Linked DNA regions of Drosophila melanogaster. The protein of the gene in region 1 interacts with the protein of each later gene in a pairwise test. Each region holds a gene or a part of one and is shown on either strand. Other genes may lie near its edges.

Region 1 (3,863 bases):
TTGTGGGTATTTACCTTTTACAAATAGGATTAGCAATGACGAAATCGTGAAATCTTTCCGAGTAATGCATCCCAGCCCCGAAATATTTCTCCGAATTCGGCATCAATTATTCTTTCTCTATACATGATTTTCTTTTATATATGTTCTGAAATCCATGCACGAAGGCGCATTCAAATTTATAAACCTTTCCCCCTTACAAATTATTAGTCACTAGTCACTTGACAATATTTTATTGCCAAGGTGGGCTTTTATAATTGCCGAATGAGTCATGGACAATGTATGTTGTATGCGTATTAAGGGTGCCAATAGATAACAAGGTAATTTAAAAAGAGCAAGGTGCGATAAGACTTGAACCCAAAATCATGCCACTTGTAAACTTGGTCAGACAAAAAGGAAACCAGCGAGTCCAGTCCAGTCCAGCACATGGTCAAATATTTAAATTGGCATCGTAATCAGCGTGGCTCGATTTTATGATTGCTCTGGCCCATCGCCATCACCCTTTCGAATATCCTGGCACTCCCCAGCGGCCATTAGGCACATGCGACCGTTTCGGAGTCACGCGCCGTGCCACATGGACACACACAAGTGGACTTCTTCGGACAAGGTTTAACAGCCGACTTTCTGGCGCTGCGTTGAGTAAGCCAAAGGAATTTGGTTGGGAATTTCAAGTGGTGCCGCCTAGGCGTAGGGAAAACGCGACTGGGTTGGGCTCTTTCGAAAGGGGTTCGTGGTTAATTTGTGCCTTCAATTTGGAATTCCTAGCTTCGCATGGCGGTAACAAATTCGTTGAAGGAGATCTTTCCATCTTTGTCCTGATCAATGTCCTGGAACAACTCGCGCAAGTCCTCTTCGGACATCTTCTCGCCCAGGTTGGTCATCACCATTCTGATCTCGTTAATTGTAAAGCTGTTCACTTCGCTGCGATCGAAGATTTTGAAGGCCTGCTTTAGGCACACCAGACTGTTCTGCTCCTCCAGCCGTTTGCTCATCACGTATAGAAAGTCCTTGAACTGCACCTGCCCACCGAAGTCGGCGTTACTTTCGTTGGCCAGGTCGTAGATCTCCGCCTCGGTGAGACTCTCTCCAAGGGCCCGCATTACTCCGCCGAGCTGTTGGACGGAAACCCATCCGGACCGTTCCTTGTCATACAAACTGAATGCTTCTCGAATTTCTTCAATCTGGGCCTCGGTCAAACTGCCGCTCATTGTTTCCAAAGTGATTTTCTTTTTTTTTTTTTTTTTTGTAGTGGACTAATGTTTCATGTGCTTTTGTCAGTGTGAACATAAAGAATTTAAACTGAACACAGACAGAACGCCGACTTTTTGTTGGATAGAAATCAAGCCAGCCTTCTATACGAGTACTCACATGGAGGCTATCGCATTGTCATCATGTTGACGAACTCCTCGTAATTCAAGTGATTGTCCTGATCCAAGTCGTACTCGCGTATCATTTCTTCCAACTCGTCGTCGCTGAGCTTTACGCCCAGCGCGGTGAACACATTTTTTAGCTCGGTGGTGGTAATGTAGCCATTGTTATCCTTGTCGAAAATTCGGAAAGCTTCGCGCAGCTCGTCCTCATGGTTGGTGTCGCGCATCTTGCGCAGAATCACATTGCAGAACTCCGGAGCCACGATGGATCCGTTTCCCTCCGAATCCACCTCATTGATCATGGACTGAACCTCGGCGTCGTTGGGCTGGCGACCCAGGGCGCGAATCACCACCGCCATCTCTTTAGATGTTATGGCGCCCTCGTTGTCCTTGTCCAAAATACGGAAAGTGTCAAGGATCAGGACTCGCTCCTCATGCGAAATATCCTCCATCTTAACTGGTATATTATAGTTTCTCGGAAGAGTTGTATATTGCTCTGTTTATATGTAGGTGTCAACTGATGTTTGGATGAAACAAGGTCCTGACATTGAACTCAGTGAAATGTGAAAAATGGTAAAATGAACATCCCCCGGTGGCTTCACTGCGCTGCACAGTGCACAACACCGAATGGCACAAAATCAATATGCTCGTTATATAAGCGCAGTGCCGCACGGACAGAGTTGATTGATTCGAATGTCCTTGGGCGAGGAGGCCTTGCAGCTGATCGGTTTCAATTGCGACCCAGCAACGGACGTCAGCTAGTATCTTTCGTTGTTCGTTAACAAAACAGAAGGAGAGTGCCGTTCGAGGAAAGTTAAGGAGTAAGAATGTGTACAATCACCGTCATTGTTCCAACGCACACTCAAGAAAAAAAAGGCTCATCTTTTCGCTATTCGAAATACAAGAACTCAACAGAAGTTTGCAACGCCAAAATATTTGTGTAGAATGAAAACAACATTAGTGAACTTTTATAGTTCCCGAGATCTCGACGTTCATACGGACGGACAGGCAGACGGAAGGACAGACGGGCTTATCCAGATCGACTAGTGATCTGGATGAATAACTCCTTTAGCTTCACGAGTAACTGGTATAAAAATGTAAATGTAAGATTTTGTTCTTGATTGCTTAAACTTATTCGTAAGTTTTGCTATACATTAAATAATCTATCTATGAATCAGCATACCATACTATTCATACTTAACAAGAGTGTTTTGAGTGTACTGCCATACAAGTGTAGTGGTTGCTATCGGCACAGAAAGGTTGTCATGCGATTTGGGTTTGGCGCCTAGCCTGCAACTTTGGCGGCTGCCTTTTTGCCGCAGGTTAATTCCAGTGCTTCTCCCCCTCGGCCCTTTCACCTGACCGCAGTGGGACACACCTGACACCGGTTTTTGGCTGCCGGAGGAGTGGTAGTGCCCGGGGGGGTGGGCAGAGAATGCGGCACGCTTTACTCTGGCCACAGTCTAAGCAAATAATAGACAAGAATTTGACATCGGCACGAGAGGGTTCCATTGTGCGGCTCATTTGATTTTTGGTTGTGTTTGGGTATTTGTTTGGGCTAGTTTCGGCGAAACAGAGGAAGTGTGCTAGAGGGCCATAATGGAAACATATCTCACATGTGTGTTTCGGAATTGTTCCTATGACGAGGCAAATTCTGGCCATATTTTTTGACCATTAACGCCGCCTGGCCCGACATAAATAATTTTCTAAGAGTGGGGTTCGGGAACCGTATGTCAAAACTTAAATAATAAATCTCTTGTTTATTTCTTGGATAAACCAAAAATATTCATTTATTGCAAATTTAATTTTTTTTCTTGCAGGAAAACCTCCGCGTTGGCTTGGAACGCAAAAAGCTCGAAATAGACCCAAAGTATTTGCTTCTTCTGGGCTTCACCTCGTCAAATGAAGCTACAGGCCAACAGCAGCAGCTGGATCAGCAAAATGTGGTGGACATCGGTTCACCAGGTCAGCAACTGCCAAAGACAGATTTTTCAGCGCCGGCTACAAAAGCGGAACTGGAGCTCAGCGAACTGCGAGGTCTGCGGCGTCCACAGGATGCTGTTACCTTCGGTAGTCAGGCAGGAGATCAAAAGGGGCAGCGGAAGCGGATCACGACGCCGTACAACGGTACAAAGAGCAACTTCACAATCGTCAGCTATGTGCTGGAGGGGCAGGCCGCATCGGCCATCCTGCTGGCCCAGAATATTGCCGCCAAGCTTCCCAGCGAGTACCTGCTAATCTACGATTTGGGCGTTTCCGAGGAGCAACTACGGGATTTGGGCGCCTACTGTAATAACAGCCGATGCTCGGTGATCACCTATGATCTGTCGGAGTTTCCCTCCTTCGTCGCCGATCAGCGGACGCACGCCTACCGGCCCATTGTAATTAAGGACGGTCTTATGCGTGCCCGATCGGTTCTCTTCTTGGAAAACAGCATGCGCGTGCGCGGAGGTTCCGCCCAGCTGCGAAGTCTGCAGAGCATCGTTATGAATCCAG
Region 2 (3,701 bases), 310 kb from region 1:
GGGGGCGTGGTAGGGCTGGGGGTACTTTCGTACTCTGGTGGCACTAATTGAAAAGCAGCAGCCACTAACAGCAGCCGTCGCTAAAGGGCTGCCAAGGGATTGGTTTTAGAGAGCATTGCTACAGTAGAAATGTAATAACTTTGATTAATCCGAAAGCAAAGCAATAGTTGGTATTTCTCATCTGAAAGTAAAGGAACTAGTTAGCATCTGTTTTCATTTAAACCATGAACCATGGGAACCATGAAGATGATATACTTGGTATCGCTGAGTTATTACTTACTTTTGTGCTCAGGAATGTATATATTGCATAGATTAAAGTTATTAGGAGGGTTATATTACTATTTATGAATTATGGTGTAGAAATCTATAATTTTAGTTCCCAGTCATCCTGCGATTGTCCACTGTACGAAGAAAGCCAATGCGCACAACGCTTTTTACTTCGTGCTTTTTTTCTGGCAATTTCCTTTGCATACTTTTGTGCTGCTTTTGATTACAAAATGGCGGCTATCCGGGATGTTGGGTGCTCCTGCAGGACCTGCTGGCTCCAGTTGCAGTCGTAATGCAGCCTAAACATTGCGTTTAGTTCTCGTTTTGCTGCATCTACAACTGCTGCAATCGCCTGGACTTTGACTATTCATTAGCGTGTGTGCTGGTGTGGGGGGTGTGCATCTGTATCTGTGCGACGGGGATGAGGGCCAAAAAACTCTAACAAGCTCAAAAAGCAATTTGCGAGAGGCCGGCTAAAAAATTGGCAAAAATATCGACGTGCCGGCTCATGCAATTGACGTTTTGCGGGCGTGTGGGAGAGGGATTTTCGCGGACTAGGGATTGGGGTCTGTTACATAAAACCACGCGTTGCACAAAAGCCGCCAAATCGTCGTCGCTGAAAAGCCCCAGCGATGAAAATACAAAATGGCCGATCCACATGCAATTCCGCACTGTTCCAGCCAACTATTTCTATTTAACAAAACGCCACTTAAACGCCAAAACGGTACTTAAAGTAGCTGTGCATAGTATATTAAATAAGCTTCATATTAGTTTACTACCAATTAAAATGAATCTGCACTCTATGGTCTAGAGCGAACTCACAGAGAATATACTTTTCGGAACAGCTATGCAAATGGTTTGCTAGCCCTCAGAAGTAAATTCGGTTTGTGGTCAGAAATTAGTACACAGCACTTTTTTTTCGGCACGTAGCCCCTGCACACACGACTGGGCCAATTAAATCCATTTACATCACAAAAATCGAGTATGTGAAACCATTTTATTTCTAGGTTCAAAATCGAAATTAAAAGGTATTAGCCTTACCAAGTTTTCACATTGCATATTCAACAATACCAACTAGGGTTGGATTTATAGAATCCATGCCTATTTACTAAAATGCCATTGAAAAAGTATATTCGAATCAGTTTTCAATTGTCTGAAAAGTAGGCGCTTTTAATGAAATCAGAAACCCTAGTTTATCTTTTTGGCTTCGATTAAATTTGAAATATCAGTCAACGTATTTTTAAGCCCCGAACCTGCAGCCATGATGTCCTTTGGTCGAGTTCTCGGGGGCCTATCCGTTTTACATTTTTCCCGGAACAGAAGTTTGCATCAAAGGAGGACGAGGCGACCATTTCCTGTAGTTCCCGACGCGAGGATTAAGACCCCGGCGCAATCAACCCGACCACCCCGCATCCTGGTGAAGAGCTTCTTGGCCCTCCATCATCTGGATTCTGTGTACATGCAGGGTGCTCCTCGTGATCTTAGAGACTATTTTATGTCAAGCTGGAAAAACGAGAGAAAATGATATCCCCCCTTGACTTTACCATTCGTAACCATGGGAATCGCCCTTGCGGTCAATATTAAAAATTTAAAGTTTTTGGAAAAAATACTGTTCTAAAAATATATTACGTTATTCGACTTGTTGGAAGATTCATTTTTTAGCAAGAAAGTGACTTGCCGCTGAACTATATACGGAATTTTAATTTAGTGAGGAAAAACGTCCATATCAATTCATTTCAAGAATTGCAAAGCCAATACATAAAAGTAGGCCCGATAGATACATTCATATAATATGAAACCTTTTTTTATATAACTTAAATTTTACTTACATTGGTTAACCTAAATTTTAGTATTTCTTTGACCAACGGTACGGCATCCACCTATGGCATAATGTTCACCGGTCGGCTTCTCATCGGGTCCCCGATATTCGAGGCTAAGATGCGGCTACAGCAGAGGCGACGAATGTCAGAGCACAGGCTTCCGTACCATCGCAGACCTGCGCCCGTAAAGCTCCAGGACCGTAAGAGTTCATGGACCGATCTAAAAAGGCCGCCCTTCCTGCTGGTCAAGAGCTTCCTCAACTTGCGCCACATGGACGCCGACTACGGGAAGGACATGACACGAGTTACGGACGAGCTAAGTTTCCAGCCCCACCGCACCCTCTTAATCAATACCGTGCGAGGGCCGCATCGTCAGTTTTCGGACACGGAACCAATTGCGGACATGATGGATAAAAGTCCGGTAGCTTTGGACTCGGATTCGAAGCCGTGAGTGTGGGTAATAGCGTTTAAATGGAAGATAATGTATTTTAATATAAATGTTTATTTTTAATTTTATCAAATAATACTTTGATATATATGAGGGGTATACGGTTCTCCAATAAATAAGGGGGGGGGGGGGGTGACACATTTGGCCTTGGCCTTATTTCAATTTAAAGGTACCATCTAAAATCTGGCCAATACTCATACATAGTCCTACTAAGTTCAAACGAAGTGCACAATAAACTTAAGAGGTAACGGATTTATTCTGTGCTGAATTATATTGCAATTTGAGCGGACGACCGAGTTGGATCCGTTTATCTGGCCTCAAAATTCTTACTATTGTACAGTTTGCATGTGGGTTTGGGATACTTCGTTATGGATAGACTGGGGGGGGGACTATACTCGTACAAGACATGTCCGGATGGAAATTGATTGCAGAGAGCTTCAAGAGAAACCGTCTAGATATCGTAGGTGCCATAAACCATTCGTCGCCGGAAGTCTGCCCAGCGGTATCGCGGATTGCGGAAGCGGGTCGTCTGCACCTCTCCGTGATCCTGCGCCTGCTCCTGGTACTTATGAAAGTTCTTAACAAAGCATCGCGGAGCATGATGGTACTCTGGATTGGGTTCATCCCGCTGGTGGCACAGGACTTCGTCGATCTTCTTCAGATCCCCAACGCACTGGTTTCGGCGCGTCGAGTAGGCGAATCTTCCAGTCATCCGGGACGTGGCTTGCTGGACCGCCAGTCGGACATAGGCGGATAGGGCCGATTGGTTTCCATTGGCTGGCAGCATTTGGAAAGGGGATGAAACTAGTCGGATTTGCCTGTAATTTCGTGGTCCGGATACCTTAGGTATTGGTTAGCCTTCAGCTGGATGCAGTTGTACTGTGGTGTAGCGTTTATTTGGCTTAAAGGATTGGCCGAAAGGAGGGAGTATGTAAATTTAAGACTTGTCTATTGTATTAGTTTGCCTGTTAAATGGGAGGAACGTAGAAAAAGTAAAACGGGGCTATGTGTTACTAAAAGCTGACTAGTTAAAAAGAAAAGCTGACTGGGTTAAAAAGAAACCTCCTCTTAAAGCCTCTTCTAGAACATATTCAGTTAATTGTTCGATAAGCAGCTAAGTGTACCTATCACACATTTCATTTTCTTTTGGCTAACCTAAAAAATGA
Region 3 (3,777 bases), on another chromosome or scaffold:
GCCATGGGTGTAAAAATTAATGCTCAGCTCCAGCCGCAATTTACCTACGTTCAGTCGGTCACAACGTAAGTATTATAACCTATATTAACTATCGGCGGACTTTATTCCATATGAGCACATCTTTTTAGTGCCTCTGCAATGTTAGCCGAACGCTTCATGAATCCCTTGCAGCGCTTGGATTTCACCATGAAGCTCTTCTATCCCAAATTGCTAGACAAGCTGAATGATGCCGTGAAGAACATGCACGACTTTACCAACTCGGTAATCACTGAGCGACGCGAGCTCCTACAAAAAGCCATTGCCGATGGAGGAGATGCCGACGCTGCCCTCTTGAACGATGTGGGCCAGAAGCGTCGTATGGCTCTTCTTGATGTGCTGCTGAAGTCCACCATCGATGGGGCTCCGTTGAGCAACGACGACATCCGCGAGGAGGTAGACACCTTCATGTTCGAGGGTCATGACACTACGACCAGTAGCATTGCTTTTACCTGTTATTTGCTGGCTCGACATCCTGAGGTTCAGGCTCGCGTCTTCCAGGAGGTCAGAGATGTTATCGGTGATGACAAGTCGGCTCCAGTTACTATGAAGCTACTCGGCGAGCTCAAGTACTTAGAGTGCGTGATAAAGGAGTCTCTGCGCCTGTTTCCCTCGGTGCCGATCATTGGACGCTACATTTCCCAGGACACCGTACTCGACGGCAAATTGATACCCGCCGACTCGAATGTGATCATTCTTATTTACCATGCTCAGCGCGATCCAGACTACTTCCCTGATCCGGAGAAGTTCATCCCTGATCGTTTCAGCATGGAGCGCAAGGGCGAGATCAGTCCATTCGCCTATACTCCCTTCTCAGCGGGTCCGAGAAACTGCATCGGCCAAAAGTTCGCAATGCTCGAGATGAAGAGCACCATCAGCAAAATGGTGAGACACTTTGAGTTGCTGCCTCTGGGCGAAGAAGTCCAGCCCGTACTGAACGTTATCCTGCGCTCGACCACCGGAATCAATTGTGGCCTCAAGCCGCGCGTCTATTAGGTGTTCCTGGATTGTGATTTTTTTTTTTTAACTAGTTGTAAGTGATGGGCTCTGTAAATATTTGAATAAAATACTTGTACATAATGATATCCAGTGATGGATGGTGTTTTTTCCGGCGAGTGTGATTTGGAAATAATGTGGACTGGTAAGGGGTTCTCACTTGGCCCCCCATAACTGGACATACCAATGCCCGCATTCCTGCTTCAATTTGATTCTATATTAGCTTTAACCGGCTCGTACTACAACTCAAAAAAAAATGGATGGTGATTTTTCCCGGAAGTGGGGTTTCGAAACATTGTGGGCTGGTAAGGGGCCTTTCACTTGGCCCTTCATCACTGAACATACCAATGCACGCATTTCTGCTTCAATTTGATTCTATATTAGCTTTAACCGGCTCGTACTACAACTCAAAAAAAGGCGATTCCCGCGGTGATGCGGCCCATTAATCCCAGGCATAGACCTTGCCGGGAGTGGGCAGCTTGGAAGACGGGGCCTTCGCCGCTTCCCCCTCTGCCGCCAGCTGCTTCTGCTGCTCCACCAGGTCGATGGGCGGCAGAACCTCGCGACGTCCATCCCGCTGGCAGTAGTAGTTGGCCGAGAGTAGATGCGATGGACCGTCAGGGATTTCCGGCTGTGGCTGGGTGCGATCGGCCAGTCCGTCCTCGAAGCGCAGGGCCAGGTTGTGCTCCCGCTGTAATTGGCGTCCAGATTAATCAGAGATTCACATTTTCCGTCTTATATAACTGAGAACCGAGTTCTCTGCGGTCGCTGTCCAAATGTCGGATACTCACACCCAGGAGGAAGGCCCGAATGCGCTGGATTAAAGGCGACACATCACGGCGCAGGGCAGACATTTTCCGTTTGTATTATTCTTCAAATTGAGAAACCACTGAATATTTTGGTTTTATATTTATTTGTGAGGTCCAGCCCTGTCGTCCAATCGATATCAGCTGCTTGAAATTACGAAGTATCGTTAATCGATACCCACGCCTCGTCCTCTTAACTTTGCTTTGCTGCCCTGCAATTGATATACTTATCGATAACTATCGCGAAGAAAAGTTGATATAGTAACGGCCGAATTTTTAATTAAAGATTAAAAGCAGAGAACAACTACGAGAAAGAGCACATAAAACTGCCTAGGCAATGAGTCATTTAGTTAGTTATGAAACCAGCACTTCCAATCGTTTTGAAACTAGAAAAACAGGACTTGGTTATATTGTGTCTATGTACGTGTATTTATTTTATTAGTATTTTATTGCCTTGCACGTTCCCAACTTTTGTGAGTGGGAAACCGTAGTTCATTTCCATAGAGTAATGGTTAACAAATTGAGGAAACTGGCTCCTTTGGTCGTCCATTAATAATATACAAGTAATAATAATAAATAAAAAGTTACTCTCGATTCTGTCTTCAGTGTTGTGTTGCTCTAATTGTAAATTAAACTAAGTACGCCGTAAACTAAACTACTGCAATTTAAAGCTGCCGCTTTAGTAGTTGCGAGAGTTCCTTTTAAACGATTTAAGGGGATGTTCCTTCCTTCCTTCCCAGCTAACAAGCTCCCTGTTCCGCCTTAAGCGGGCGTCGACTCTGGTTGGGATTGGGACTGGTCTGGCGAGGACTCGCTGGCCGTTCCGGGACTGGGCGCCAGCTGCTCCACGCTGACGGTGCGTACAAACTCGGCGGTGGCTTCAATCACAATTGTGGGTAAGTCATCAGCAGGTCCTGCCGGTGCAACTGCAGCGGGTGCTTCCTCCGCCTGCGGTTCGCTGGTGGTTGGTGTGGTTTCTTCTGTGGATGGTGCTTCTGTGACTATCACAGCCACGGGCGCCTGTTCGGTCACCTCTGGCTTGGCTGGCTCGATCTCAACGGTACTCGAAGCAGGAGCTGTTGCCGGTGTGGGCTCTGTAGACGGAGCTGGAACTGCTGCCATAGTGGACTCTGCCACAGGAGCAGGTTCTGCAGAAGTTGTGGGCCCAGCCACAGGCGTGACTTCTGCAGCAGGCGCAGGAACAGGTACAGGAGCCTTGGGTGCCGGCGACGCTGACTTCGACTTGGCGGACTTGCCCACAGCCGGCGAGGGAGTCCTCGACTTCAGTTTTTGTTCGTGAGCACTGCGATCCATCAGCACCGAGGTGGACTGCGGAGGCGCTGGACTAGCCGCCCTCTTGATGTCTTCAATCTTGGCCTCCATCTCACTGCGTATTTCCTTGATGGGCTTCAGCAGAAAGACGGGAACGTCATCGTCCCTCCGCTGGTACAACATCTCGCCCTCGAAGTCTACCAACTTGTGTTTGCGGGCCCGCAGCAGGATGCCCACCACCTTGTCGGATATGTAGTTATAGATCTGTAGAGTGGAAGTGACCAGTTTAGAGGGCTTTTCGAAAAATATACCAGCTGTAAACAGGACACTCACATTAAAAAGTTCGCCGAAGGGGATCACACGCATAGTGGGCTCGTCCTTGACGTCGTAGCCCTCCGAATTGATGATCTGGCAGAGCTCCAGCATCTCCTTCATCACGTGGATGTTGGCCTTCTGGCCACGCATCTCTGTAAGGCTGCCGGCCAGTGGTTTTCCATACTGATCCTTCGAGAAAGTGGGTTTCGGCGAGGCGGCGCGTCCGTCCTGGGAAAATGGATTCAGCAGCTGCGACTGCTTGTGCTGCGTGGCCTGGTTGTTGAACATGGCCACCTTGGAGGACAGTGGTGAGTCCTGCAAGTAACGAAGAACACAAATGGCTTAAATCGGC

The links. The genes of interacting proteins can lie anywhere in the genome.
Region 2: the proteins of azot (region 1) and CG14759 interact in a two-hybrid assay, tested with the Drosophila melanogaster proteins (one large-scale study listed by BioGRID).
Region 3: the proteins of azot (region 1) and ND-B14.5A interact in a two-hybrid assay, tested with the Drosophila melanogaster proteins (one large-scale study listed by BioGRID).

What each region holds. Positions count from the first base shown.
Region 1 is NT_033778.4:7,947,845-7,951,707, reverse strand, and holds azot (ahuizotl), read right to left. Parts: upstream 1,870-3,863; 5' UTR 1,820-1,869; coding exon 1,373-1,819; 3' UTR 1,243-1,372; downstream 1-1,242. Other genes in the region: CG30378 (uncharacterized protein), read right to left, coding at 759-1,205; CG14764 (uncharacterized protein), read left to right, coding at 3,188-3,863.
Region 2 is NT_033778.4:8,257,879-8,261,579, forward strand, and holds CG14759 (uncharacterized protein), read left to right. Parts: upstream 1-1,962; 5' UTR 1,963-2,157; coding exon 2,158-2,538; 3' UTR 2,539-2,605; downstream 2,606-3,701. Other genes in the region: CG30369 (uncharacterized protein), read left to right, coding at 1,529-1,792; CG2291 (uncharacterized protein), read right to left, coding at 2,987-3,322.
Region 3 is NC_004354.4:2,170,752-2,174,528, reverse strand, and holds ND-B14.5A (NADH dehydrogenase (ubiquinone) B14.5 A subunit), read right to left. Parts: upstream 2,004-3,777; 5' UTR 1,887-2,003; coding exon 1,824-1,886; intron 1,724-1,823; coding exon 1,475-1,723; 3' UTR 1,097-1,474; downstream 1-1,096. Other genes in the region: Cyp4d14 (cytochrome P450 4d14), read left to right, coding at 1-65, 129-1,032; CG3630 (uncharacterized protein), read right to left, coding at 2,601-3,374, 3,444-3,740.